Linked DNA regions of Anolis sagrei. The protein of the gene in region 2 purifies or fractionates together with the protein of the main gene of each other region. This does not show direct contact. Links are inferred from orthologs where the notes say so. Each region holds a gene or a part of one and is shown on either strand. Other genes may lie near its edges. The genes, in order: STYX and FBXL12.

Evidence for each region.
Region 1: the proteins of FBXL12 (region 2) and STYX purify together in Homo sapiens (affinity purification with mass spectrometry; 4 studies listed by BioGRID and IntAct, with this or other methods). This does not show direct contact. The link is inferred for Anolis sagrei from reciprocal best matches to the Homo sapiens genes FBXL12 and STYX.

What each region holds. Positions count from the first base shown.
Region 1 is NC_090021.1:339,034,199-339,050,144, reverse strand, and holds the start of STYX (serine/threonine/tyrosine-interacting protein), read right to left. Parts: upstream 8,553-15,946; 5' UTR 8,150-8,552; coding exon 8,093-8,149; intron 1-8,092. UniProt on the Homo sapiens protein: Catalytically inactive phosphatase. Acts as a nuclear anchor for MAPK1/MAPK3 (ERK1/ERK2). Modulates cell-fate decisions and cell migration by spatiotemporal regulation of MAPK1/MAPK3 (ERK1/ERK2).
Region 2 is NC_090022.1:147,589,978-147,605,716, reverse strand, and holds the start of FBXL12 (F-box/LRR-repeat protein 12), read left to right. Parts: upstream 1-7,547; coding exon 7,548-7,660; intron 7,661-12,168; coding exon 12,169-12,241; intron 12,242-15,662; coding exon 15,663-15,739. Other genes in the region: UBL5 (ubiquitin-like protein 5), read right to left, coding at 1,604-1,641, 3,862-3,945, 4,929-4,984. UniProt on the Homo sapiens protein: Substrate-recognition component of the SCF (SKP1-CUL1-F-box protein)-type E3 ubiquitin ligase complex.

The DNA.
Region 1 (15,946 bases), on a different chromosome or scaffold from region 2:
TATGGTTGACCCTCTACATTTGTGGTTTTGACTTGATTATTAACATCTTATTAAAATATTCTCTTTAGCATCTCTAGGTTCTCCAGTACAATGCATGCTCAGCCTCTAGCAGAAATTAAACACAGCCATACTTAGGGAGGTGTTCTCTCTGAAGTATAGACATAGCACTTGACAGTTACTGACAGTCATCATCCAAATACTAACCAGGGATGACCCTGGTTAGCTTCCAAGATCAGACAGGATCTGGCACCCTTCAATTATTTAGGCTACTCAGGTGGGATTGAGTGCTATTTGGGGTGTCTCTTGCAAGAACTGCCTTTTGCAATGGCCATTCTATTTGTCCATTATGATATTTATCTAACACCATAAGGAACTGGCACTTGAATTCACTTCTTCTCTACATCCTTATCCAATAACAACAATAACAACAGATCCCATCCTCAGCTGCTGCAAGAAGATTGCGCAGACAGACTACAAGCAGAGGCACAACACCGTTGCTCAGATGATTCATTGGAACTTGTGCCACAAATACCATTTGCCTGCGACAGAGAACTGGTGGGATCACAAGCCAGAAAAAGTTACACAGAATGAACACGTCAAGCTACTCTGGGACTTCCAGATTCAGACAGACAGAGTTTTGGACCACAATACTCTTGACCTCACAATCATATTTTTTAAAAAAAACTATGGATCATCGATGTTGTAATCCTAGGCGACAGCAGGATTGAAGGGAAACAACTGGAGAAGCTGACATGATATGAGGATTTAAAGATTGAACTGCAAAGACTCTGGCACAAGCCAGTCAAGGTGGTCCCAGTTGTGATCGGCACACTGGGTGCAGTGCTTAAAGACCTTGGCCTGCACTTAAACACAATCGGCGCTGACAAAATTACCATCTGCCAGCTGCAAAAGGCCACCTTACTGGGATCTGCACATATTATTCACCGATATGTCACACAGTCCTATACACTTGGGAAGTGTCCGATGGGTGATCCAATACAACAGCCAGCAGAGTATCTGCTGTGGACTCATCTTGTTGTGCTTCAAATAACAACAACAACAACAACAACAACAACAACAACAACAACAACAAGAAACTTTATTTATATACCATCCTGTCACCCCTACGACACTCAGGGCGGTTTCCAACATATAACTATTCAATTCCCAGAAAGGAAAGCCATACAGACAACCTAAAATAAACATAATAACCTGCTAAAACATATAGCAAATATTTAAAAACCAATTTCATTATAGCTCCATCAGATGGGTTCAAAATACCAACAGACAGGATTAGAAAATGGAGGTGACCAACCATAAAAGGGATGGGCAAGGGGTAATGCATGAGAGTATCACAGGGCCAGGATGAAGTACAGTACAGAGTACTATCTAATCTAAGTACACCCGAAAAGACTACTAGAATCTCCTGTAGAAAAGAAGGGGGTGAGGAAATAATTACAACTGGTCCTACAGTTCTAGAAGCATGATTTCCAGCTACTACGGATTATCACACCCCATATTAGCATATGGTGGCAATGGGAATATGGACATGCTGTATCATGGAGTTGGAAGAGACCTCGTGGGCCATCCAGTACAACCCCCTGCCAATAAGCAAGAAAATCACATTCAAAGCACCCCCGACAGATGGCCATCCAGTAGAAAAGCCTCCAAAGAAGGAGCCTCCACCACACTCCAGGGTAGAGAGAGAGAGTTTCACTGCTGAACAACTCTCACAGTTAGAAAGTTCTTCCTAAATGTTCATGTGGAATCTCCTTTCCTGTAATTCCTGCTGAAGAGTGCAGATTCACATTGCCACCATTTAGTATGGGGTTTTAAAAAAAATAAAACTGTTTATTTTGGTTATGGTACATAACAGAAAAACAAATCGGGGCAGATATAATCAGGTAACAGTATTTTTGATGTGTGCATGCCTATCTACCTTAGTCAATCAACCAGTTAATTTTGACACTGAGTACAAATTATTATCATTTACATAATACACATAGACTTGCTATTTCTGCCTGTTTTCCACTACTTTCAATCAAAGCTTTCTATTCATTTTTTTTCCATAACATTCAGAAAATCAGCACATAGCATTTTACACACAGCAGACTATACACTCATCCCAAAAGGGTTTTTCTTTTCAAAGTCAGATCCTAGAAGCAGAATGTCTGTGGGTACCATAGACCCACTATGCTTTTAAACCTTCATAACCAAGTTGCCATGGATTTATACTATACTTTGGCCTTGAAGAGACCACAAAAAAGAGTTACAGGTTGCTAATTTTCCATCCAGCACAACGTATTTCCTAAAACAAAGGATCTTCTGCAAGTAATAGGAGATATTTAACACTGCAGGATAACCAAAATCTTATCAACAGGTGTGACAACAGCTTGTACAACTGAGTTCTTAGGATAACAGCAACAACAGATTAGAGAAAAGTCTAAACTGATAAACAGATAAACAGTTAAAGGGAGTTCCAGGAAAAAAAATCACATTGGGGAGGGGGGGATGCCATCATTTGATATGTCAACTAGTCTACATATCAGACTCACTAGGAAGCAGCTTCCAAGAATCATGGAAGTTGGAAAGTTTACCAAGGTTTGCTTGCCACAAGCCCTGGCAATACAAGAATCTACAGCTAAAGCACCCCTGAAAGGTGGCCACCCATCTTCTATTCAAAATTCTCCAACAATAAAATCATAATTTAAAAATAAATACTAGGAGTCATTGTGTCTAGGGGGAAATCCCCTTGAATGCTGCTGTGAAGCTCGGAATTGTTTATAGAAAGGAACTGAAATGTGTATTCCAAAAATGAAACAGGAGGGAATCTACAGAGCAGAGGCACAAAAAAACCCAAATGGTTCTGAGGGGGAAAAAACTACGACAAAGTATATATGTGAGAGTGATAAAAGCCATTCCAGCAAGAAAAGTAAAAAGCAGTTAAAAGTGGAAGGGACGTTACATATAATGGATGGTAAATGTATCACCCTCAATGCTTCTGGAGTGCAATTTCCAGCAACCTGACTCTGTTTGGGCAACAATGGGGGATGAGGGGAATTTCAGTCCAAGAATATCTTGAAGCACATGTTTCCTGTCTCTGTCATAAAGGATACCCTTGCCATGATTGCTCCTCACGTTGGTGTATTAGCAACCCATAGAGATATGACACTTACAGTACAGGTCTTCCCCCCATTAGTAAAAGTGTACATTCAGGTGTAGATATACAGAGACAAATTCATCACTAACAATTTTAAAGATTCCTGGATGCAGTGCTATTTGTTTGCACCATCCTTTTTGTTTTGACAGTTTTATCCCGTAATGTTTATGATAAAAGGCAACTTATACACATTTTAATAAATAAAATAATAAGTCAAGGACAAAATCCTTTAGGTCAGCATTTCTCAACCTGGGGGTGAGGACCCCTGGGCAGGGGGCTGCGAAGGGGTGTCAAAGGGGTATTTTTTGTCGGGCATGGGGGTTTTGTGGAAGGTTTGGCCCAATTCTGTCGTTGGTGAGGTTCAGAATGTTCTTTGATTGTAGCTGAATTATGAATCCCAGACACTACAACTCCCAAATATCAATGTCTATTTTCCCCAAACTCCACCTGTGTTCACATTTGGGCATACTGAGTATCCATGCCAAGTTTGGTCCAGCTCTATCATGTTTTGATTCCACAGTGCTCTCTGGATGTAGGTGAACTACAATTCCAAAACTCAATGTCAATGCCCACCAAACTCTTCCAGTATTTTCTGATGCTCATGGGAGTTCTGGGTGCCAAGTTTGGTCGAATTCCATCATTGGTGGAGTTCAGAATGCTCTTTGATTGTAGGTGAACTATAAATCCCAGCAATTACAACTCCCAAATGACAAAATCAATCTCCCCCAATCCCATCAGTATTCCACTTTGGGCAAATCAGGTATTTGTGCCAAATTAGGTTCAGTGAATGAAAATACATCCTGCATATCAGATATTTACATTACGATTCATAACAGTAGTAAAATTACAGATATAAAGTAGCAAGGAAAGTAATTTTATGGTTGTGGGTCATCACAACATGAGGAACCGTATTAAGGGGTCGTGTCATTAGGAAGGTTGAGAAACAATGAATTAAATAATGAGAAGACTACCAAGGATGACCTGTGTGCTATGTAGGGTGTTCATGAAGTGGAAAAAAATTAACAACACCCTTCAAATTCTGGACACTAAATTTACACAGGGTAACAACTGGGAACATCCATAGTACCAAGACAAATATATGAAAATGTTAAAAAATCTACCATGTCGGATGAATGGAAAATGCAGGAGAAAGTGAAAAAGAGGTGCTATTGAGCATTCACAACAGCCAGTGTCCTGGGAGGAGACAACAGATTCAAGAACAACAACAACCCTGCTCAGAACACCACAAATGCAGCAGAAAAATTAAATTTTCTTAAGTGTTGTAGATGCAAAAATGGTTATAAGTAAGACAAAAGACCTATATTCCTACTAGCTTTATTATTCACTCTGTCTTACTGAAATGCAATTTGTAAGTAGGAACAAGTCAAGGTACCTGCTGGGTACCTTCATCAGATGGAAGAAATTGGACATTGCTGATTGAGAGGTATACAGGTCACTACTACTACTACCATAACCATGCCTTTCCCCATAACTGTGACTCCAAGATGGTTCACAAATCCCAAAACAGTCTAGGAAGAAGAGACTGAACAATATGCACCTTGATTATATCCAAATGGCCAAGCTGACAAATAGCAGCAGAGGAGGAAATAATGAAGAATTTGCAAACAAATGGAGGCTGGCACTTGGGTATTTGGAAAAGAAGACAAAGGTAAACTTGAAGATTGCCATAAAGGGGATTCAGTGAAAGAAGGTATTTGGGTAGTTGTTGTTTAGTAATGTGATCCTGTTTTGAGGGGTTTCGGAGGTCAGGGGTTGGGGTTCATGGGTGGGGGACAGAGGGTTATGTAATGTTAAGGTATAAATAATTGTACAACCAAATCTGGTTATACTTATGTTTAATGAGCACTGAATATTGACTCTTTTGCATATTTTTCCTTTGCTCATTTTTTCCTTTTGTTCATTTGTTTTGTTTTCTGCATGCACTATTAAATAATAAAAAAAATATTAATAATAAAAAATAAGCAACTTGAAAGAGCAGGAAAATGAAAAAGATCCCTTGAGAGATTTGGGTTTCTTCGTTCTCGTCCCCAAATGAGTATATGACTGCAGACTCGTCATACAATCCATACATGACAGTTGCAGGAGGGAGGAGTAAAGGGCTTCCTAGAAGATGCTGCAGGCTATAAGTGCCACAATGTTATCTTATATACTGGAGTATGAGTATCCTTTTTCTGGAATCCCAAAATCCCAAATGCTCCAAAATCTAAAACTATCCACATGGGCAACTGAAATATTGATTTTGTTGGTTCAGTGTGCACCAAATTTGTTTCACGCTGGAAAATATCCATACAATTACCTTCAAGCTATGTCTATAAGGTCTGCATGAAACAAATGAATTTGTGTTTCAGCTTGGTACCCATTTCCAAGGTTATGCACATACACACAAACACAGATATTCTAAAATCAGGGTAGGAGGGGAAGGGGAATCCAAAATCCAAATCACCTCTGGTCCTAGGCATTTTGGAGAAAGGATACTCAATGTGTAGGAAGGAATGAAAATCTGTGCTAATTTTTTAAAAATCCCTAACCAGCTTCAGGTGTAATGTGTAAAGAAAATCAAAGGCATTGTAACACACACAAAGGCACACATTGAGGAAGTTCTCTCAGGTCACTCATTTTTAATGATCCCAATTCATCATAAAGAGAAGGAAAGAAGGGAAGGGAAGGGGGAAGAACCAAGCAGCACATTCGAGACTACTTCCCCATCACATATATTTTGAAGCAGAAAAGAAGAGAACCCAAAGTCTCAGAGCAAGCCTTGAAGTGGGAGAAGGAGAACACAATTTAAAGGGGAAATTATTATTATTTTCTATATATCTACTCCACTTTTCTTAAGACACAGGTACTCAAGACAACTTACAGCAAAAGATATAATTAAAAACAGAGCAAAGGCATTAAAAGATATTTTTAAATGATTGAAATATTTTGTGTTATGAAACATAAACGTAAACATACAATTAAAACTGCATTGAAAAACTACACAGCTCCCCACAAATCCCAGGCACACCATCCTCAGCAGCCTGTCCCTCATCATTCCCTAAATGTCTGATGACAACATTTACATTATCTGGGAGAAATAAAATTCTGTAAATTGTGTTTAATACCCATAGCATCATACACAGTATATACAAGAATTAAATTTACATTAGATGTGTTAAAAAGCTTCATGCCTTTTGGTCCACTCTATATCATATATTAATCTTATATGATACTATAGTAATATGATATATTCATATATAACATAAATATATAATATACAATTATATCAATAATATTTAATGTTTATGCTATATTACTATTTTATACTATTATTATAATACAATAATGTGGTAGTATGATAATATAATAATTATTATTAATATTGTTCACTTCAGCCCGCCCTCTTGCAAGTGACTTTTGCCCACCTTATATTATATACTGATATCCTATTATATCGTGGGCTGGTCCATGAGGTCACGAAGAGTCGGAGATGACTGAACGAATGAACAACAACATCCTATTATAGTATATTCATATTATGTGTCAACATATATCAATATGTATGACTATATTGTGTTACATAAATATTTTATAACAGTATTATGCAATGATATGTAATGATGATGATGATGATGATTATTATTGTTATTATTATTTCAAATGGTTATTCCCTTTGGCACACACCTTTGCAGCATATAGTTCTCGTTTGCTGTGACATACTGTGCTTTTGTGTCAGTAAAATATATGCAATAAATTGTATTGCCTTGGTTTTTCTGTAAGCTACTTTGAACCTCTCTCTTTCTAGAGAGAAAATGCAGGGTAGGCATAATAATAATTACAACTATAATAAATACAATAAATTGTATTGCCTTGGTTTTACTGTAAGCCACTTTGAACCTCTCTTTCTGGAGAGAAAATGCAGATAAAATAATAATAATAATAATAAATACAATAAATTGTATTGCCTTGGTTTTACTGTAAGCCACTTTAAACCTCTCTCTTTCTAAAGAGAAAATGCAGAGAGAATAATAATAATAATAATAATAATAATAATAATAATAAATACAATAAATTCTATTGCCTTGGTTTTTCTCTGAATTTTCAGGAGAAAAAAATGCAGGCTATACATAATAATAATAATAAGAATAATAAATACAATACATTCTACTGCCTTGGTTTTTCTCTGCATTTTCTGGAGAAAATAATAATAACAACAATAATAAATTGTATTGCCTTGAATCTCTCTCTTTCTGGAGGGAAATACAGAGTATACATAATAATAATAATAATAATAATAATAATAATAATAACAACAACAACAATTGTATTGCCTTGGTTTTACTGTAAACCACTTTGAACCTCTCTCTTTCTGGAGAGAAATGCAGAGAAAATAATAATAATAATAATAATAAATACAATACATTCTACTGCCTTGGTTTTTCTCTGCATTTCCTGGAGAAAAAAATGCAGGGTATTGCCTTGAACCTCTCTTTTTCTGGAGAGAAAATGCAGTGAAAATAATAATAACAACAACAACAACAAATTCTATTGTCTTGGTTTTTCTCTGCATTTTCCAGAGAAAAAATGCAGAGAATAATAATAATAATAATAACTACAACAATAAATTGTATTGCCTTGAATCTCTCTCTTTCTGGAGGGAAAAAACAGAGTATACACAATAATAATAATAATAATAATAATAATACTATTCTTCCAAATAAAGGGTCTTGCCTGGGTTTTCCTGTAAGCCGCTTTGAGTCTCCTTCTTTTGGGGGGGATCTACAACAGAATGGCCATCTCCTTCTCGTGTGGTTGTTGATCCCCTCCCCCTCCTCCTCCCCCTCCCCTTGCAGGTGAGGCACCTGTGCCCTCCCTTTCCCCTCCCCCTCCCCGGCCTGCCTCCCTCCCTACACAACCCCAGGGTGGGCTCACCTCGGAGTCCTCTTTGGGCTGGGGCAGCGCGGGGAAGACCGGCTTGGCCAGCTCCATGGCCGGGCGGCGAGGGACCGGCGACGACCTCCTCCTCCTCCCTTTCTCTCTCTCTCTCTCTCTCTTTTTCTGTCAGGCTGCCTCCTTTCTCCTCTCCTCTCAGAAGGGAAGAAGAAGAAGGGGGCCAAGGAAGAGGCCGAGCGAGGGCCTACGAGGGGCTCCCGCGGAGGAAGACGCCAGGCCGCCAGGAAGGAGGAGGAGGAGGGAAGGGAAGGCAGAAGGGAGAAGAAGAAGAGGAGGCAGCGGCGGCGGCTCGCGCCCAGCCGCCATGCTGCTGGCTGGCAAGCAAGCGAGCGAGCGAGCGAGCGAGCGAGCCGGCCCCTCCCACTCCGCCCGGTCACTCCTTCCTTCCTGCCTTCTTTCGCCTCACAAGCACCGCGCACGCGCACTCCTCCTCGCTTTCCCTCTCTAAGCCACGCCCACTCTAAACCCGGCCTCGAGTTACCCAAGCCACGCCCACTTTCGGCCTTCTCTCAACTGTCACTTAAGCCACTCTCTCAGCCGTCCTAAACCACGCTCACTCTAAACCCGGCCTCGAGCTGCCCAAGCCACGCCCACTCTACTCCCTGCTTCAATTTACCCAAGCCACGCCCACTTTCGGCCCTCTCCAACTGTCACTTAAGCCACGCCCCCTCTCAGCCATCCTAATCCCGGCCTCGAGTTACACAAGCCACGCCCACTTTTGGCCTTCTCTCAACTGTCACTTAAACCACGCCCCCTCTCAGCCATCCAAATCCCGGCCTCGAGTTACCCAAGCCACGCCCACTTTCGGCCTTCTCTCAACTGTCACTGAAGACACCCCCTCCCTCAGCCCTCCCTAAGCCACGCCCACTCTAATCCCGGCCTCAATTTACCCAAGCCACGCCCACTTTCGGCCCCTCTCAACTGTCACTTAATCCACGCCCTCTCCCTCAGCCCTCCCTAAGCCACGTCCACTCCAACCTCGGCCTCAATTTACCCAAGCCAAGCCCACTTTCGGCCCTCTCTCAACTGTCACTTAAGCCACGCCCTCTCCCTCAGCCCTCCCTAAGCCACGCCCACTCTAACCTCGGCCTCAATTTACCCAAGCCACGCCCACTTTCGGCCCCCTCTCAACTGTCACTTAAGCCACGCCCCCTCTCAGCCGTCCTAATCCCGGCCTCAATTCACCCAAGCCACGCCCACTTTCGGCCCTCTCTCAACTGTCACTTAAGCCACGCCCTCTCTCAACCGTCCTAAACCACGCCTACTCTAATCCCTGCCTTTATTTACTCAAGCCACGCCCACTTTCGGCCCTCTCTCAACTGCCACTTAAACCACCCCTCCCCCAGCCCTCCCTAAGCCACGCCCACTTTAATCCCTGCCTCAATTTACCCAAGCCACTCCCACTTTCGGTCCTCTCTCAACTGCCTCTAAGCCACGCCCATTCCCAATCCTTCTCTTCAGCGGTCCCTAAACCACGCCCACTTTCAGGCTTTTTTGTATTCTTTCTGCGCACGCGCACTTCTCGCTTTGTCTTTCCTTCTACGCCACGCCCACTCTCACTCCTCCCTCGACTGTCCCTAAGCCACGCCCACGCTCGATCCTGCCTCAACTGCTACCAAGCCACACCCACTTTCAGGCCTCTCAATTGACACTCTCGAAACTGTACTCTCGAAACTGTCTCCCCAAGCCACTCCCACTTTCAATCACTAAGCCACGCCCACTCTGCACTCCTTCAACTCTCCCCAAGCCACGCCCACTTTCAGCCGTCTAATCTGTCGCTAAACCACACCCACTTTCACTCCTCTCATCTGTTGCTAAGCCACGCCCACTTTCACTCCTCTCATCTGTCGCTAAGCCACGCCTACTCTCAGTCCTCTCAACTACCACTAAGCCACGCCCATTTTCAGTCCTCTCAGCTGCCGCTAAACCACGCCAGCTCTGTCCTCCCTCAATTGTCCCTAAGCCCCACCCACTCTGTCCTCTCTCAACTCTCTAAGCCACGCCCACTCTACAATCCTGCCTCAACTGTACCCAGACCACGCCCACTTTCAGTCCCCTCTCAACCGTAGCTAAGCCACGCCCACTCAATAACACCCAATTTACCCAAGCCACGCCCACTTTCAGCCCTCTTTCAACTGTCACAAAGCCACAGTCTCAGCCCGCCCTCAATTGGCCCTAAGTCACGCCCACTCTCAGTCCTTGTCGTTTTCCCTGCCGCGCACGCGCACTCCTCCTCGCTGTTTTTCTTCGTAGCCACGCCCCCTCTCGGTCCTCCCTCCCCCTCCCCAACGGTTAATTCTGTCTTCTCCTCAGCAGCAGCGCGCTCCCGAGGTTTCCCTTCTGCGCATGCGTGCGCGCACTCCTCGCATTTCTCTCCTCTAAGCCACGCCCACACCAGCTGTCACTCATCCACAACCTCCTTCTCCCTCACTTTTTATCTAGCCACGCCCACTTTAGATCCTTATTTTTTTCGCCCCGCTTGCCACGCCCACTTTTGGACCATCTGCTTTCTCCTCACAAACAGCGTTTCTGAGGTTTCCCTCCTGCGCATGCGCACTTTTCGCTTTTTCCTCTCTAGGCCACGCCCACCCCAACTGTCACTTATCCACAAACTCGTCTCCCTCGCTTCCCCCTCCCCTTATAGCTAGCCACGCCCACTTTCTGTCCTTATTTTCTTCTCCACACTAGCCACGCCCACTCGCTCCTCAATAGTCGCCGGCGACGCTCTCGAAGGCTATTTGCTCTGCGCATGCGTACTAGCCCCATTTCATCCCTTTTTCCCTTCCTACGGGGCCCACACACTCTCTCCAACGGCAAGGGGGAAAGGGGCGTGGCCATTAGACGCGCGCCTTATAAGGAGTGGGCGTGGTTAGCGGCAGCTTGACAGAACAGATCATGCTGCTCACAATGCAAAATAGGGGGCGGGGCTAGGATTTAAAGGGAAAGGAGCATTGAGTCAAAGCAGTTAAAGTGGTGTCAGACTGCATTATTTGTAAGGTGTGGATGCAATCAAAGTCACCAAACTGGCTCAGATTCTTCTCTTTTCATTTCATTTCATGTTGTTGTTGTTCATTCGTTCAGTCGTCTCCGACTCTTCGTGACCTCATGGACCAGCCCACGCCAGAGCTCCCTGTCGGCCGTTACCACCCCCAGCTCCCTCAAGGTCAGTCCAGTCACTTCAAGGATGCCATCCATCCATCTTGCCCTTGGTCGGCCCCTCTTCCTTTTGCCTTCCACTTTCCCCAGCATAATTGTCTTCTCTAGGCTTTCCTGTCTCCTCATGATGTGGCCAAAGGACTTCCACTTTGTCTCTAGTATCCTTCCCTCCAGTGAGCAGTCGGGTTTTCTTTCCTGGAGGATGGACTGGTTGGATCTTCTCGCAGTCCAAGGCACTCTCAGAACTTTCCTCCAACACCACAGCTCAAAAGCATCGATCTTCCTTCGCTCAGCCTTCCCTAAGGTCCAGCTCTCACATCCGTAGGTGACTACAGGGAAGACCATGGCTTTGACTAGGCAATGGATCTTGGTTGCCAGTCTGATGTCTCTACTCTTCACTATTTTATCGAGACTGGACATTGCTCTCCTCCCAAGAAGTAAGCGTCTTCTGATTTCCTGGCCACAGTCTGCATCTGCAGTCATCTTTGCACCTAGAAATACAAAGTCTGTCACGGCCTCCACGGTTTCTCCCTCTCTTTCCCAGTTGTCAATCATTCTTGTTGCCATAATCTTGGTTTTTTTGACGTTTAGCTGCAACCCGGCTTTTGCGCTTTCTTCTTTCACCTTGATTAGAAGGCTCCTCAGCTCCTCCTCGCTTTCGGCCATCAGAGTGGTGTCATCTGCATATCTGAGGTTGCTAATGTTTCTTCCAGCAATTTTCACCCCAGCTTTGCATTCATCAAGCCCCGCACATCGTATGATGTGTTCTGCATACAAGTTAAAAAGGTTGGGTGAGAGGATGCAGCCTTGCCGTACACCTTTCCCAATCTTGAACCAGTCTCCTGTTCCGTGGTCAGTTCTGACTGTTGCTTCTTGGTCCTTGTACAGATTCCTCAGGAGAGAGACAAGGTGGCTTGGGATGCCCATCCCACTAAGAACTTGCCACAATTTATTATGATCCACACAGTCAAAGGCTTTAGAATAGTCAATGAAGCAGAAGTAGATGTTTTTCTGAAACTCCCTGCCTTTCTCCATTATCCAGCGGATATTGGCAATCTGGTCTCTGGTTCCTCTGCCTTTTCTAAACCCAGCTTGAACATCTGGCAACTCTCGCTCCATGTCTTGCTGGAGTCTTCCTTGCAGGATCTTGAGCATTACCTTACTTGCATGAGAAATAAGGGCCACTGTACGGAAGTTGGAGCAGTCTTTCGCATTTCCCTTTTTTGGTATGGGGATATAAGTTGATTTTTTCCAGTCTGATGGCCATTCAAATATGTTTTCCATATTTGCTGGCAAATGGCATGCATCACCTTGACAGCATCATCTTTTAAGATTTTAAACAGTTCAGCTGGGATCCCGTCGTCTCCTGCTGCCTTGTTGTTAGCAATGCTTCTTAAGGCCCATTCAACCTCACTCCTCAGGATGTCTGGTTCTAATTCATTCACCACACCGTCAAAACTATCCTCGATATTATTATCCTTCCTATACAGATCTTCTGTATAGTCTCGCCACCTTCTCTTGATCTCTTCAGCTTCTGTTAGGTCCCTGCCATCTTTATTTCATGTTATATTATGTTAATATATTATATATTATTTATTGTTATTTATACCCTGCTTTTTCTCTCCATAAAGAAACTCAAAGTGGTTCTATTATATATTATATATTATTATTATTAATATTAACATTAATATAATATTAATAATAATCATATCCTGCTTTTTCTCTCCACAAGGAGACTCAAAGGAGCTCTATTGTATTATATATTATATTATATATTATGATATAATATATCATAATAATCCTCACTACCTCTGAGGATGCTTGCCATAGATGCAGGCAAAACGTCAGTAGAAAAATTGCCTCCAGAACATGGCCATATAGCCCGGAAAAACCTACAACAACCCAGATCCTGACACTCCTTCGGATCTTAAATTCCAACCGATCAGCTCTATCTAAGCCTCCGGCTCCATCAAGGTCAATTTCCTCGTTAATGCTTTTCCTCTCATTATCAGGCTGAGAACTATCTTCTCTTCCTAAATCATGCACCTGGCTCTCAGTAGTTTCCTTTTCCCCAGCGTCATCCCTTGCTGTGGGAAACAACTTCTACTCCCTGTTCCTGGTCTTCTTCGTCTAACACAGGGACATCATAACTTTGCAACTGACTGTGCATCTGAAACCCACCATCCCCATCAGAATCATTGACACTATCACTCTGAGATTCCAGCTGAGTCACAATAGGGGACAGATCTAATGTCTCTAGGAGGGCGTTCCATAGCCGGGGGGGGGGGGGGGGGCACCACTGAGAAGGCCCTGTCTCTCGTTCCCGCCAGTCGGATCTGCGAAGAAGGCGGGACCAAGAGCAGGGCCTCTCCAGATGATCTTAAACACCTAGATGGTTTATAGGAAGAGATGCATTCAGACAGGTAAATTGGGCCAGAACCATTTAGGGCTTTAAAGGCTAAAGCCAGCACTTTCAATTGTGCCCGGTAGCAAACTGGGAGCCAGTGGAGCTGGTGCAACAGAGGAGTTGTGCGCTCCTTGAGTGCTGCTCCTGTTAACAACCTGGTTGCTGTCCGTTGGACCAATTGAAGCTTCCGAACAGTCTTCAAAGGCAGCCCCACGTAGAGAGCGTTGCAGTAGTCTATACAGGATGTAATCAGAGCGTGGACTACCGTGGCCAAGTCAGACTTCCTGAGGTACGGACTCCCCTGGTCACCGCCGAAACCTGGAGTTTCAAGCTCAGCGATGAGTCCAGGATCACACCCAAGCTGCCCCATTAATACCCTATTAAAGGCCGATGTAAACATTGCTGTTGCTTGAATCCAGTCCTGCCCTATTGCTGATACGAAATCGAGATGAAGAGCAATGACTGAGTTTTGCAGACCTGAAAACATATACTGTATATACTGCTTGCCCTTTTGCAGCTGGAACTGGTTTCCACGCGCATCCAAGCCAGTGAGAATGTAGGTCGCATCATGGCCGAGGGGCTGGGTCCCCACCCATCAGCTAACCACATAGTGGCCTTAATCCAACCCTTCAGCTCTGCATGCGCCGCTACTCAGGCCGCGCAAGGCTTTGTCTCTCTTCCTTTCCCTGCCTGACATCTCCTGAACCAGAGCTAATTATAGGCTCCAGCTCCGTAGAGAGGCTCCTGTGTCAAGCTTAATTCAATTCCATCATTGGTGGAGTTCAGAATGCTCTTTGATTGTAGGTGAACTATAAATCCCAGCAACTATAACTCCCAAATATCAAGGTCTATTTTCCCCAAAGCCCATCAGTGTTCACAATTGGGCATATTGCGTATCCATGCCAACTTTGGTCCAGATCCATCATTGTTTGAGTCCACAGTGCCCTCTGGATGTAGGTGAACTACAACGCCCAAACTCAAGGTCAATGCCCACCAAACCCTTCCAGTATTTTCTGTTGGTCATGGGAGTTCAGTGTGCCAAGCTTGATTCAATTCTGTCATTGGTGGAGTTCAGAATGCTCTTTGATTGTAGGTGAGCTATAAATCCCAGCAACTACAACTCCCAAACTCAAGGTCAATGCCCACCATACCCTTCCAGTATTTTATGTTGGTCATGGGAGTTCAGTGTGCCAAGCTTGGTTCAATTCTATAATCGGTGGAGTTCAGAATGCTCTTTGATTGTAGGTGAACTATAAATCCCAGCAACTACAACTCCCAAATGTCAAGGTCTATTTTCCCCAAAGCCCATCAGTGTCCACATTTGGGCATATTGGCTATCCATGCCAAGTTTGGTCCAGATCCATCATTGTTTGAGTTCACAGTGCTCTCTGGATGTAGGTGAACTCCCAAACTCAAAGTCAATGCCCACCAAACCCTTCCAGTATATTCTATTGATCACGGGAGTTCAGTGTGCCAAGCTTGGTTCAATTCCATCATCGGAGGAGTTCAGAATGCTCTTTGATTGTAGGTGAACTATAAATCCCAGCAACCACAACTCCCAAATATCAAGGTCTATTTTCCCCAAAGTCCATCAGTGTTCACAATTGGGCATATTGCGTATCCATGCCACGTTTGGTCCAGATCCATCATTGTTTGAGTCCACAGTGCTCTCTGGATGTAGGTGAACTACAACACCCAAACTCAAGGTCAATGCCCACCAAACCCTTACAGTATATTCTATTGGTCATGGGAATTCAGTGTGCCAAGCTTGGTTCAATTCTGTCATTGGTGGAGTTCAGAATGCTCTTTGATTGCAGGTGAACTATAAATCCCAGTAACTACAACTCCCAAACTCAAGGTCAATGCCCACCAAACCCTTCCAGTATATTCTATTGGTCATGGGAGTTCAGTGTGCCAAGCTTGGCTCAATTCTATCATCAGTGGAGTTCAGAATGCTCTTTGATTGCAGGTGAACTATAAATCCCAGCAACTACAACTCCCAAATGTCAAGGTCTATTTTCCTCAAAGTCCATCAGTGTTCATATTCTGGCATATTGAGTATTTCTGCCAAATTTGCTCCAGATCCATCATTGTTTGAGTTCACAGTGCCCTTGGATGTAGGTAAACTACAACTCCCAAACTCAAGATCAATGCCCACCAAACCCTTCCAGTATATTCTATTGGTCATGGGAGTTCAGTATGCCAAGCTTGGTTCAGTTCTATCATTGGTGGAGTTCAGAATGCTCTTTGATTGTAGGCGAACTATAAAT
Region 2 (15,739 bases):
CCCACAGGAAAACATTCAGGTCTAGTAAGTGAGCTTAATGTGTAAATCTAGAAAAGTCTACGATACTACCAAAATGGCATTTCCTTTGGAAACATCACAGATGCTGATCCTCATATTTTCAAACTGCCAGAAGCCATACACAGACCTACAAATTAACACTTTATCAGGAAACAACACACCAGATGTTGACATGAAATTTCACCAGTCTTCATTTTAGCTATACTAACCAAGGCTGCTGGGAATTTCAACACTAGATAGATACCAGTTGGCTGCTCCTGTTTTAAATACTGAGCAATATATAGTAAAAGGCAGAGACAGAGCCATTTCACATATTATCATCTCAGCCTTTACATTAAACTTTAATGGAAAACGTAATATATAAACATAGGACTTTTTATAAACTCAAGCACATTACACAAATCTGAAAAATGAAGCAGAGATATCAGCAAGCCTACATCTAGAACCCCTTTTCTTCTTTTGTAAGGCCAGCAAACTTTTCCATCAACCCAATATTTCTCAAATGGTGCTCCTCCAGATGTTTTGCACTTTAGCTCCCACAATTCCTAACAGCTAGTAAACTGGCTGGGATTTCTGGGAGTTGAAGTCCAAAACACCTGGAGGAGCACAGTTTGAGAAACACTGCATTAACCTATAGGCATGGTTAGGCAATCCTAATCTGCTATAGAAATCAAACATTTAACACTGCATGTTGTTACTAACAGATTTGTGTAAATGTTTCAAAGAGCCACTAGGTGGCAAAACCTTTACTGTTGCCAATTTTTGTGACCCCAACATTGAATTAAAAGGGTCTCATTTGAGGTCAGGACCCCCAGTTTAAGAAGTAGTGATATAAACTGTGACTTTTAAATAAGATTTTAAGACTAAGCCAGGGCATGTTGTGAAGTGTTTTGTGTATTTTGGTAGGTTTTTAATGGTTTTCACTATATTTAATACTGCTTTGTATAACTCTATTTTTGGCTGTATATGTTTTAGGTTTTGAATTGTCTATTGTATAGTTTTTAGGATTGTTTGTCACATTAAGTTCCTTTTAAGAGAGCAAAGGCAGAATTTCCCACTTTTATGCCTTATTCTGAAAACATTGTATTTTCCAAAAAAAAAAAAATCAAAATTTCATTATACAAAATGTGAAAGCCCCAAATCTGTTACTCTGCTTGTATCTGTGCACATCTAAACACATACACATTATTCAAGAAGAACTTAAAATGTCCACTTTCTATTCAGCTCTTGTTTGCATGATGAAAAAGGGAAGCAAGTTATAGAACTGGGTATTTTAATCAATTTTTGTCTAAAATTCAGTAAAACCTTTCTATGATCTCCAGATACAGTGTGGAATACAAATATTTTAAAAAGAGAATACATAAAGACCCAGTAGAATCAAAAATGTATATAAGTAAACTCTGGTCTATTGGCTAAGAGTATTTTGTGCAAGTCTTTTTGCAAAAGTATAAATAAATCGGAAATGATTTCAAAGCAACTATCCAAATAACATTACTGAATTTAAAGATGATTAATGAGTGCTGTTCCCTTCTCTGTACATATAGTAAAGCTCTTACTTATTGTCAACCACCAGGATTAAGGATACAGTCTGCCAGTGACACATGGTCCTTGAAAATTGTGTACCTATAACATTAAATATATATATAGTTAATTTTAATTTGCTACACAAAGCAAATTAACAATGACAATTATTTCTGTTAAAACATGAAATTAACATAATTACACACACAACAATCTGGGAACAATGGGCTTTACATGGAATTTTCCTTAAAGATGGCTCCAAACATTATCTTGCAGCAGAAGCAACTGGATGTTTGTAAGAGTAACTTCCTGTGATTATTATATATTACAATAAGATATAAGTTGCCATTCTATTTTGGGATGTAATGTAATTTGTGGATATGACTTCTACAGCTTTAAATGACTGAATCAAAAATATGCTAGGAGTGTCTCTTTCTATATGCCCTACAGACTTGAGATATTTAGGTCTATGTTGTTAACTGTCAAAAGTCTCATTATTGGAAATAGGGCAGAATATAAACAAAATAATAATACTCATCACCCCTCTGTTTCCACAACTTCCAGATGGAATGCCCTTGGACTGCATGGGTTCCTCATCTTGCCCATAGGGCTTTACTAGTGTTATTTCCCATCAGAGATTAGAGATAATATTTATTTATTTATTTATTTGATGCACTTATTAACCGCCATTCTCAGCCCATAAGGGCGACTCATGGCGGTGTACAGTACACATAAAAGACAATTACAAAAGCCAGTTCAACAACATCTAAACTAACAACACTTACAGACTACACTAAAAATCCGCTTCGTCTCATAGTGGAATCATAACCCGTCTCATATTCCTTATTCCATTCCAATTCTTCTTTACCGTAATGTTGGCACTTAATTAAATGCCCTCTCGAACAGCCATGTCTTAAGGCTTTTTCGAAAGGACATGAGGGAGGGCGCCTGTCTGATGTGTGCAGGGAGAGTGTTCCACAGCCGGGGGGCCACCACCGAGAAGGCCCTCTCCCTCGTCCCCGCCAGCCGTGCCTGTGAGGCAGGCGGGATCGAGAGAAGGGCCTCCCCAGACGATCTCAAGGTCCTCGTGGGCTCGTAGGCCAAGATGCGGTCCGAAAGGTATTTTGGGCCGGAACCGTTTAGGGCTTTGTAGGCCAAAACCAGCACCTTGAATTAGGTCCGGTAGCAAATCGGCAGCCAGTGGAGCTGGGACAACAGGGGCGTTGTGTGCTCCCTGCCACCCGCTCCAGTTAGTAACATGGCTGCCGCGCGCTGAACCAGCTACTCAAACTTTAAAGACCTTCCATGAAAATGACCTGCACTGTTGTGCTGAGCTTATTCTGCAGTGAATATGCATGGACAGAGCTATGCCTGAGAGGAAAATACATATATATACATATATATATGTATATATGTATGTATGTATATTTGGCCCTGTCCCATTGGTTCAGAGCAACCTACTCTTTCCTTGTTTCCAAGCACTGCTTGTTGCTAGAATGCGTCCTCAGGATCCTTCCTGAATTGGAATCTGGCCTGACTAACCCTGAATGAGGCAGTTCAGAGACCCACCAATAAGAAATAGAGCCTCTTCCCAAAGCTATCTTCCTTCAGAGGAAAGCAAAATTATTTTTGTTCCTTTTCTGATTGAGTTTATCTGGAATTCTGGAGTGACAATATTCTGCCATTGTGAGCTCTTGTTGAGTACAATTTGAAATTATTTAGTTTATAATTTTTATTGTTTTATGATCCTTTTGAATTATCTGAGAACCATTTTGGCTGGGAGGCAATAAATAAATATTTATAATAAAATACAATTGGTCTTCCACATTTGCAGGTCTTGTGTTCACAGCTTCAGTTGTAATCATCCCACATCAAAGTCTACAGACTTGCAGACTTTTGTGGGGAAATGCCAACTGAAACCATTGCTATTCTGCCCCCTGAAGTTACAGGGAGTGGAATAGCAATGATTTCAGTCACCATCAACCCCCAACCAAAGTCTGTAAACCTTTAGTGAAGGGTGGGTGGCAACTGACATTGTCGCTACTCTGCTCTCTGCTTCAAGAGACAGCACAGCAAATTCACTCGCATCCACAAATGCACAATGCTTAACCCGCAAATGTATTGGGATAGCTGTACTTTTGCACAGGAGGGAGAGGGGAGACAGCCTTTATATATTATCCTTGGGTCTCTTGTATTCAGGACACAAATGATGCTCTTGAACTCTGGCTCTCAGAACTAGACTAGGACAGTAATGCCATATACAATTCTGCCTGAAACAAAAGTACCATTCTTTTATTGAAATCTGTCCACATTTCTACTCACCATTTCTTTAGTACAATCTTGTCCCACCGAGTTCCAGTCTGGGCCGCAATTAGCTTTTTCAGGTCCCGGATGGTGTCATCAGAGCTGAGCAATAGTACCAGTTAAGCAAAATGTATCTCAAGTGGAGGCCTCTTTGTGATAAACTCTAAGAGACTAATGTTTTTTTCAGATTATTAAATGGAATACACATTGCGGTCGTGCATAAATCTTCTACCGGCCACCTCTCTCCCTCCCCTCTGTTTTCCTTACTTCCCACACATACATCTTTGGAACCATTATATGTGTTTTCCTAAATCCTGGAGAAAAAAAATATAAATATTTCAATATTTTAACATCCCTACCTAGGGTGGGTAATCTTTAAACATATATAATCAAAACACCTATTTAAAAAAAACACTCCTAAGTAGAGTTTTCTCCATCTTTGAACAAAATTTGTTTACTGCAACACAAAAAAAAGTTATGCTTGTGCAGTATCACATGACCCAAGGCTTCCTGCTTATTTTTTTTGCTTATTTTTTTAAAAAAGCACTACCTTCAGTTTAGAGATTATTAAACACCTGTCTAATGCTCTTTCTCACACACACACTTTCACTCTATACCAATCTTCTCCATTAAGCATGTGCCTTAATCCATTCTTATATCCATTCTGCTTGAGCTGTTGCTTTTTGAACTTTAACTTGCCTGACAACAGGCATTCTAGTCCAAATGTAGACAACGTATTAGAGTGATCCCATACTTGGGAGTAAACCAAGCGAGGGGAATTATAAAGCCTTCCAGATACTGTTGCTCAGAAAATTGCTGGAATAGGAGAAAGCATTATTTCAAAAGGAAGTGACTATTAAGACAATTTCTGAGTCATTTCTTATGTTCACAGTCGCCTACACTTATGTTACACTGTGCTCATATTTCAAGTGAACAGTTCTCATCACAGATATTTCCCTTGTTAAGTATCTGTTTTGTATGTGTCAAGAGTCTTCACAAATAAAACAGAAATTAAATATAAGGCTAGAAAATATAGTCTAGCTCCCCCTAGGTGTTCAAAAATTACATATTTCTGTTTTGGATACTTGCACTTGACTCTCACTTTCTTGCCCAGACGATCATTGCAAACCACTTCAATCATCCCGATCCGGTGTCAATGGTAATCAGTGTACAAGAAACGGCTGAGTTAGGAGACCTCTAGTCTCCTGCCTTTAGGGGTACTGTTGGAAGAAAGAAACAGAGAAAAATGTGATCAGTCACTTCAGATAGAGAAGGGGTTGTTTGCTTTTTCAAAGCACAATCTCAGGAAAAGAGAGTGAGGTCGGAATTCCCAAATTCTGAGTGAATCTAGCTGAGATTTGTACAATAATATCATACTCCCTACCGCACAGAACGTTATGGGTAAGTCCAGACATGCCTGTCTTCCACTTGTAACATCACAGGATTTTCCACCACTTCATCCATTTAATAGTGGATAACTGTACAATGTAATTCAACTGATAATACTATTGGCCCTTCATCTGGGAGCAACTAGGCCACTGAGTGCCCTGGGACAGGATACAAAATTAATTAATTGAGAAGCTCCGCTGCTGTACTCTTCCTTATTTAAACCTTCTCATATTTATATAAACTGTATTACATAACTCTTCCAGAATGGTTTATTAACCCCTATTAACTCCTAAACTATTGTATTGCTCAAAATAAGAAAAAATGGAAGCACTGACATCCAAGAGGTACAATCAATCATGGGAACACTACCATTTTAAGAAGCCATAAAAAGAATAGCAATTTCTATAATGTTATATGTGTTAGCCTGTCATAGCAAAAACAACGACTATAATGGTACCTTAAACACTAAGAAGTTTGGTATAAGGTTGGGGGGGGGGGAGGAGTCCAACCCTCTGTATAAATTTATGTCCAAGCTATGTGTATAAGGCATACACATAGGCCTAGTCTCTAGGTCGCCTGTTCTGCAATTCATTCACTTCCCCGACCCTATGACATGTTGTTTACACTATTCCTTGCTCAGCCCTTATATTTTTCAGCTCCATCTTAGCCATTGGTATTGCTGAACCTCACCCAATGGCACTATGATGTAATTAGTTTATATTTTTAGTGCGTTTTATCGGGATTTTTGCATTTTATGGAGTTTTTATTTTTCTCCATTTTTTATTATGTTGCAGCTAGGTTGCTCTATATTTTCCAATGTGTCTAGTCCTGATGTAAATTGTTTGTACTGTTTTCTTTTATCATTGAATGTTTGTCATGTTTTTTTGAAACCGCCCTGTGTCCCTTTGGGGAGATAAGGCAGTCTATAAATAAATTATTATCATTATTAAATAAACTATATTCTTGCTGTGAGTCTTCTGAATAACTGAAGATGTCAGCCATTGATGCAGAAGAAACGTTAGGAGAGAATGCTGCTGGAACACTGGCCATACAGCCCAAAAACTCACAACAACCCAGTGATTCTGGACATGACAGCCTTCAATACATTGAAATATAATAGAATTCTGTGTTCAGACTCCCATCTCCAAGATATCTCATTGTTCATTCGCTCAATCATTTCCGACTCTTCATGACTTCATGGACCAGTCCACTCCAGAGCCCCCTTTTGGCCATCACCACCCCCAGCTCCTTCAAGGTCAATCCAGTCCCTTCAAGGATTCCATCCATCCCTCTTGCCCTTGGTTGGCCCCTCTTCCTTTTTCCTTCCATTTTCCCCAGTATCATTGTCTCCTCTAAGCTTTCCTGTCTTCTCATGATGTGGCCAAAGTACTTCATCTTGGCTTCTACTCTCCTTCCCTCCAATGAGCAGCCAGGTTTTATTTCTTGAAGTGTGGACTGGATCTTCTTGCTGTCCAAGGCACTCTCGGCACTTTCCTCCAACGCCACATACATATATCTCATTATGTACATGCAAATACTCCAAAATCTGAAGAAATTTTAAAAAATCCAAAACACTTCTGGCACCAAGCATCTTGAGTAAAGGAAACTCAGCCTGTGTTGTGGCTGTTCAACTTCAAGCCATCTTTCAATTTGTCCTGAGGAGAAGCTATTGCGGGGCTTTCTTGGCAAAAATTGGGCTGGATCTACCCTGCCATATAATCCAGTTTCTGAAACCAGGTTATCTGATTTGAAGTGGTTTATATGAGTCTACACTGCCAAATAATCCAGTTTAAAGCAGATAACCTGGATTATATGGCAGGGTAGATGGGACCTGGCCTTGCTCAGAGGCCCAGAGAATGTGAATCGCTCAAAGAATCCATATAGTGTCTATAGCTGAGTGGGGGCTCAAACCTTAGACTCCAGAGGCGTGGTTCGACGCTGGCTCTGAATAATCCACCAATCAGAATCAGAATAATACCAGATGAAAGGAAAGAGTCCCTTCGCACCCGAATTTCAGTTCAGCCTGAAATTCCCCGGAGAAGTAAAAGAAGAGCCACCCACAGAAGCACAGCTAACCTCACTCTGGGGGCTTCGGGAGCTTTCCCGGCCACTGTCCGGGGCCTGGAGGGCTAAAGCAGCCGGCCTTGCTCCTTTCACCTACCCCAAGGAAAGCGGGCCGAAACAGTCACGGAGGAACTCACGCAGAAGCCCGAAGGGGGAAGAAAGCGGAAGCGGAAACGTGCCTCACACGCCCGGAAGCGGAAATCGGAGGAGCCTGGTCGAACGTTCCAAGGAAAGGCGGGAGAAGCTCTCAAATGGAAGGCATACACTCAGCCATGTCGGTGCCCAGCCTCGCCACACTCCCGGACTCGCTCCTGCTCGAGATCCTGGCGTGGCTGCCCCCACGTGACCGAGTGGGCGGAGCCAGGTGAGGGCTCCGGGCGGGGAGGGAGCTCTTCTCCCACCCTTAACTGCCGTGGGATTCTGGGGGATGTAGTTTAGTGAGGCCCGACAGCGCTCTGCTGAAGAGTCAGAAGGCTCCTCCCATTCTATTGGATGTTGCCATGGCAGCTGCGGTGTGATGTGATAGGGCAGTCCGCATCACTCTCCTTCCTGGCGTCCCAAAGGTTTCTCCAAGGCTCAGAAGAGGTTCTGTTAGTCCAGTGGTTCTCAACCTTCCTAAGGCCGCGACCCCGTAATACAGTTCCTCATGTTGTGGTGACCCCCAATCATAAAAATTATTGTTGTTGCTACTTCAGAACTACTATTATGAATTGTAATGTAAATATCTGATATGCAGGATGTATTCTCATTCACTGGACCAAATTGGACAAATACTCAATATGCCTAAATTTGAATACCGGTGGGGTTGGGAAGGGATTGATTTTGATATTTGGAAGTTATAGTTGCTGGGATTTATAGTTTGCCTACAATCAAAGAGCATTCTGAGCTCCATCAACAATGGAATTGAACCAATTTTGGCACACAGACCTCCAATGACCAAAAGAAATATATTGGAAGGGTTTAGTGGGCACTGACCTTGAGTTTGGGAGTTGTAGTTCACATACATCCAGAGAGCACTGTGGACTCAAAAAATGATAGATCTGGGCCAAACTTGGCCCGAATACTCAATATGCCCAAATGTGAACACTAGTGGAGTTTGGGGAAAATAGGCCTTGACATTTGGGAGTTGTTGTTGCTGGGATTTATAGTTCACCTACAATCAAAGAGCATTCTGAACTCCACCAATGATAGAATTGGGCCAAACTTCCCACATAGAACCCCCATGACCAACAGAAAATACTGTGGTTTTTGATGGTCTTTGGGGACCCCTCTGACACCCCCTCATGACCCCCCCAGGGGTCCCGACCCCCAGGTTGAGAAACACTGTGTTAGTCCCTTCCTCAGATATATCGCCTACGGCACTTGGTATTCGTTGGTGGTCTCCCTTCCAGGTGCTAACCAGGGCTGAGCCTGCTTAACTTCCAAGGCCAGACAGAATCTGGCACTTTTAGACTAAATGCCCAGGGTGTATAGCAGCGTTTCTCGACCTGGGGGTGAGGACCCCTGTGGGGGATCACGAGGGAATGGCAAAAGGGTCTCCAAAGACCAGCAGAAAACACAGCGTATGCTAATGGCCAGACTAACTTATAACAGGAGGAATACAAGAGAGTCAGTAATATAGAGGAGTCTTGTCGAAGGCTTTCATGTCCGGAATCACTGGGTTGTTGTAGGTTTTCTCAGGCTATATGGCCATGTTCTAGAGGCATTTTCTCCTGACGTTTCACCTGCATCTATGGCAAGCATCCTCTGAGAATGCTTGCCATAGATGCAGGCGAAACATCAGGAGAAAATGCCTCTAGAACATGGCCATATAGCCCGAAAAAACCTACAACCAACATAGAGGAGCTCCATTAGGAATTTAGGTTTACCGTGAATAAGGATAGATAAATAGGCTTAAAGGCTTCATAGTGTTTCAGTGTTGGAAGTCATGGTGAAGGGTGCACGGGTGTGGGGAAGAGGTTTTATTTTGTGTGGGATAAGGGTTCTGGGATGAGTGTGTGGTTTGCTGTGTGTAAAATGCCATGTGCTGATTTTCTGAATGTAATGGGAAAAAATTGAATAGAAAGCTTTGACTGAAAGTAGTGGATAACATACAGAAATAGCAAGTCTCTGTGTTTTAAGTTAAGTAACTGATAATAATTTGTACTCAATTTCAAAATTAACTGGTTGGTTGATTAAGATAGATAGGCATGTACACGTCAAAAATATTGTTACCTGATTATATCTGTCACGATTCGCTTTTCTGTTATGTGCCATAACCAAAATAAACAGTTAAATAAAACAACATTTTCTATTGGTATTGGGGGGTTTGTGTGGGAAGTTTGGCCCAATTCTATCATTGGTGGGGTTCAGAACGCTCTTTGATTGTAGGTGAACTATAAATCCCAGCAACTCCAACTCCCCAATGTCAAGGTGTATATTCTCCAAACTCCACCTGTGTTCACATTTGGGCATATTGAGTATCCATGCCAAGTTTGCTCAAGATCCATCATTGAGTCCACAGTGCTCTCTGGACATAGGTGAACTATAACTCCAAAACTCAAGGGCAATGCCCACCAAACCCTTCCTTCTGTTGGTTATGGGAGTTTTTTGTGCCAAGTTTGGTTCCGTTCCATCGTTGGTGGAGTTTAGAATGCTTTTTGATTGTAGATCAACTATAAATCCCAGCAATACAACTAACAAATGACAAAATCAACCCCCCCCCCCCAATTCCACTAGTGTTCAAATTAGGGTGTATTGGGTATTTGTGCCAAATTTGCTCCAGTGAATGAAAATACATCATGAATATCAGATATTTACATTATGATTCATAACAGTAGCAAAATTACAGTTCTGAAGTAGCAACTAAAATAGTTTTATGGTTGGGGGTCACCACAACATGAGGAAACTGTATCAAGGGGTTGGGGCATTAGGAAGGTTGAGAACTACTGGTCTATAGTGAGCGATAGGATGCCTGTTCCATCTAGGTATTTGGGACTGCAGGTCCCTCCAGTGGTTGGTCATGGTGCTTGGGGTTTCTGGGAGTTGTTGACAGGCAAAATGAGGCACAGGGGTTCTGCCTCTTTATGGAACATGCATAATGGGGAATCAATTTATATTGTCCTGAAAACAACACCTGCAGAACTTCTTTCTGCACAGCCGTTAAAGGAACAGGAAATAGTCATCTTATTTCAGCTGACAAGGTTCTTGGAAACTAAATTCACTAGAAAGGAGGAAACCATTAAAATGAACAAATTCTGGCTACCAGTATTAACTAAACTCTAAAATCAGGACAGTAAATAAAGAACAACACTCAAAAACTAGGGGAATTCCAGACAAGAAGCAATTAGGGCCAGCTAACACTGCCAAACAAAGGATTCCCCCAGGCAGGAAGCAACCAGGCTTTGAAGCTGCAAGGCCATTAAATGCTAATCAAGGTGGCCAGTTGCAACATTCACACTTTCCTCAAGCAGACAAGAGTTCTTTCTCCCACCCTGTATATTCCACAGATCTATAGATCTCACTTGCCTAGTTTCCAACAGACCTCACAACCTCTAAGGATCCCTGGCATAGATGTGGGTGAAACATCAGGAGATAATGTTTCTGGAACATGGCCAGACAGCCCGGAAAACTCACAGCAACCCAGTGAATTCCATCTGTTTTATATTCATGCATTTGATTGTTGTTTAACTTGTATTGTGTTTTTACCATGTTGGAAGCCGCTTTGGGTCCCCATTGTGGGAGAAAAGCACATATAAATAAGGATTTATTATTATTATTATTATTAGTAGTAGTAGTAGTAGTAGTAGTTGTTGTATAAAGTAGAAAAGAATCTGGTGGCCACTAGATCTTCATTCCTAGTTTAGAGCGCAATATGGACAGCAACATAAAACTAACTCCTTTGTTAAAGATACAGGAGCCTTTGTGACAGGGAAGGGAGATATTCTTGCCTTCTGCTTTGTTCTCCCCCCCCCCCCCCCCCCCCGCCGCTTTGACTATGAAACACCAGGCCTGCTTTGGAGCCTTGTAAGATATCAAGGCAACTCTCTAAGCGCTACTGTGTACCTTCAAAGCAGCATGTTTGCTCCAGCAGTGCAGAAGGGCTGCTCCGAAGGCATGTCTAGAGCAGCTATCAAAGGGAAACAAAAGCTATAAGCTTACAAATGGTTAGTTGGGGACCCTAATGCATCTTGTTGCAGTGTGATGAAGTCCTGGCATTCATTTTTGGGGATGTGGCCCTTTTGATCCAATAAAAATAAGCTGAAACGGTGTTATTTCTATTTGGCTTGCCTAAGGAAATGCAAGTTAAACACTTAAGAATGGCTCAGGTGCAGAAGTTCTTCAAAATCCTGTTGTCCCTATGTTTCCCTCTTCAATGGGTGTCCTGAAATGTAGTTTCAAAGAAGTCCCTGGCCTACATATGTTGAGAGGTGTTCATCAGTGGAGAGAGTTTTTGGACATTGCCAAAATCCATTCGCCCAATATGAAGTTCTAGTTTGTGCAGAGAAGTAACCCCTCATCCAGACTGAATTCTGAAACAATTTATTTTTCTATATAAGTGCTTACTATGTATATGCTGTTGCTCCCTCCTCTCCATGCACACCAACAATGTGGCATTGCTTCACAGTTACCTCCAATTAGTTTCCTCACTACTTCTGCAACAGGATCCTTGACTACAGTTTTCAAAGAAGCAGCTGTGTTAATTTCTTGCAGCATAAAAAGGAAGGAGGGAGTGGGAAACAGCATCACCTTTAAAACAAACTAGTTTTTATTTCAATATCAACTTTTGTGGATGTAAACCCACTTGTTCAGATCCTCTGCATTGAAGCCACCCAGTCACTGCCTTTGGGTGAGAAGTACTAGTTGATAACAACTGATCACATCTTTCTACAGGGTTTGCAAGAGGTGGCGTCGCCTGGTGCGGGACAAGTTTCTGTGGAGGCATTTGGATCTAACTTCTTACAAGGTAACAATGGTCAAACTCCAGCACATTAGTAGGTATTTGTGAGCAAGGATCAGGAATTGCTGGGGTACTTCCTTGGCCATTGGGGTCCCTCAGGACTCTGTGTTGCCCCCCAACATATACATGAAACCGCTGGGAGAGATCATCCAGAATTTTGGAGTGTGATGCCATCTGTACACAGATGAACTGTAATACCATTACTCCTTTCCACCTAAAGCCAAGGAATCCGTTTCTATGCTAAATTAGTCTGTGGCAGCTGTAATGGACTGGATGAGGGCAAACAAATTGAAGCTTCATCCAGACAAGACAGAAGTTGGCCAATCAGTCATAACACCAATCTAGTAATAGAGATTCAGCATGTGTTAGATGGGGTCACACTCCCCCTGAAAACACAGGTTCACAGTTTGGGGGTACTCTAAATTTCAGCTCTGAACCTGGAGGCCCAGGTATTAGCAGTGACCAGGAATGCTTTTGTATAAAGCTAGCGCACCAACTGCACCCATTCATGGAGAAGGTAGATCTGGCCACGGTTGCAAATGTCTTCATTACATCCCAGTTAGACTACTGTAATGCACTCTGCATGGTGCTGCCTTTGAAAAGTGCTCAGAAACTTCAGTTAGTCCAAAGAGCAGCAGCCAGACTGCTGACTGAGACTGGCTACAGGGAGTGGACAATTCTGCTGTTACTACAGCTCCACTGGCTGCCAGCCTATTTCTGGACACAATTCAAAGTGCTGGTTTTGACCTACAAAGCCCTGTACAGCTTCTGTCCAGGTTATTTGAAGGACCATATCTCTCTCTATTAACTTCTCAGATATCTACAATCAACTGGGAAGGCCTTCTCTCTGTCCCACCACCCGATTAAGTGCATTTGGTGGGAACAAGTGAGGGCCTTTTTGGTGGATGCTCCCAGTATGTGGAACTCCCTCCTCCCCCTACCAAAAAACCAGGATTGGCCCTTCCCTGCTTGCATTCTGTGCCAGCAAGCCTTTAAGGTAGAAAGATGGGCATGCTGCTGGGGAGGTTGTGTGTGGGATTCTGGGGTGGGGAATTGTGATTTTTAAATGTAAGTTTAATTTATTATATTTTAACTATAGTTTAACTTTATATCTACAAAGTGCTATTTAATTTTTTTTTTTTTAAATTATTTGCTTTGTTTTAAACTTTGATCAGATTGTGTAGCTGTTAGACAACTTGAGTCTCCATAGGGAAAAAGCCGGGGTAGAAATAAAGTTAATACATTAAAAAATAGCTTTGCACTGTGGTGCAGTTACCTTTTCAGCCTCCAAAAGCCATTGCCAACACACTTTCAGGAAGGGCTAAAACCATATGTTTCTGCATTCATGTCATTTCCGACCTACATCAAATCTTTTAATGGAGTTTTCTTGGCAAAGTCTGCTCATGGGGGGAGGTTGCCCTTGACTTCCTCTCAGGCCAGGTATGACTTGCTCAAGATCCCCCAGTGGGTTTTCATGGCTGAGCAGGGATTTCTCTGTTATTATGTGGGTAAAGACTAAGAGTCTGAAGAATTTTGCAGCCAGTATAACAGCATATCTCCCATGCAGTACGATTTCAGATGCGTTTTGAATTTGGGAGTTATAAACTTTAACAGTTTCATTGTTAGCTGCAGAGCTGGGTGCATGTTGCTCTTTGCCTCCATGTTTCCTTGTTTTGGGTCACAAAGCATGCCACAGCCATCTTTAATTGGCTATTTATTTATTTTTTTTGTCGTGTCAGGAGCAACCGCTCCTGTTGTGAGAGAATTGGCCGTCTGCAAGAACGTTGCCCAGGGGACGCCTGGATGATTTTTGATGTTTTATCATCCTTGTGGGAGGCTTCTGTCATGTCCCCGCACGAGGAGCTGGAGCTAATAGAGGGAACTCACCCACCTCTCCCCGGATTCGAACCTGCGACCTGTCGGGCTTCAGTCCTGCCGGCACAGTGCTTTAACCCACTGGCTATGCCACATTGATTGGCTATGAACCTTCCCTATTAGTTACATCCTCAGGGTTCAGAGCAGATTATAATCTTGTACAGTGGAACTTTCCTTACATGAAAGATTCACAATTTACATTATAAAAAGCCCACCCACATGGTTAGATACTTTTTGACTGCCACGAGGAAGCATCTGAGATATAGATGTACTTATTTGGAGAGGGCAGAATATTCTAACACATGGTCACAATCACCAAACTACAACGTTTATGATTCTTAGGGGCCCATCTACATGGGCACCTAAATTCAGGGCAGATTAGAAGGATTCTGTTAAGGTGTTTTCACCTCACTGCTCTTGAACCATGGCAGCAGTGGGAGCAGAGCTGAGTCCATCCAGTCCAGCCCTGCTGTCCAGTCACTCTTACCTTTTCAGTTGTTTGTCACCATGGCAATGGAAACAGAATTCTGGATTGCATCAGGGCCAATGCGAGGCCCCCTTTTCTGACATCAGCAAAGGCTTTCACATGACTTGGGAAAAAGAGTGGGTGATTCTCCTTTTTTTGGGTCACAAAAGCAGTTTGGGTCCTTTAGCAGTTGGCTATCGCTGGGTGCCTTTGCTGATGTAAACAAAGGCCCCAGCTATAGCCAGGAGTTCTCAGGAGTACTCTCCAGAGCAGCAACAAACAAACAAAGGGTAAGTGCCATCCTGTTTTCTCAATGGAGCACATGGAAAACTCCTACTACCAATAATAATTATTATTTGTTTATTTATTTATTTATATTCCGCCCTCTCCCCCCAAAGGGGGCCCAGGGCGAATGGCAATCTATCTTGTATAAACAACTGAATCAATTTGAATTGGAACCAGCTGAGCTATTCATACTAAGCCCTCCAGAGCTTTCCTGAGTTTACTTAATGCAGGTTAAAATTGGGCTGATTTTACCCAATGTTAAGGGCCAGAAGTCTCTGAACATAGCACCCAAACATCAATAGCTTTACTGTATACCTTTTACTTTAGGCTATAACTCCTCTGTTTCTCCAACCATGCATCTCTATAGAGCTAGCCAACCCATTTCCATTTCTAAATTAACAATCAGTGAAGAAAATAAATTAGGGAGGGGGGAAGTGCTGAATTTTGAATGTTAAACCTAAATACTAGTATGCAGCCCTATCCTGTGCACTTGCATTTTCATAATTGCTGTCAGAGAACCCAATGGTTTCTCTTTCATTAAAAGTTAAGACACAGTACTGACATTGACCTGTGAATAAGTCGATCCAGGGTTTTGAGTAAAATTTCTAGACTTATGCATGGGTTTAAAGGCTAGGTTCTGCTGAGTGGACTGGGCCTTTTTCCTGGGTCTGTGGCTGCAGGTTTGTTGCCATAACGATTGTTTCAAGCATTTATAAGCCCTCCAACCATCTTACATCAATTTAACTCATGCAACTTTTAATCTGCATGTTTTCTCTGTTGAATCTACTTCCGTCCTCTCAGGTGTCCTCCAAAGTCTTGTGGTATCTACTGAGGAATTATCTGCGAGGCACTGTGCAGACTTTGAAGGCCCAGGGATC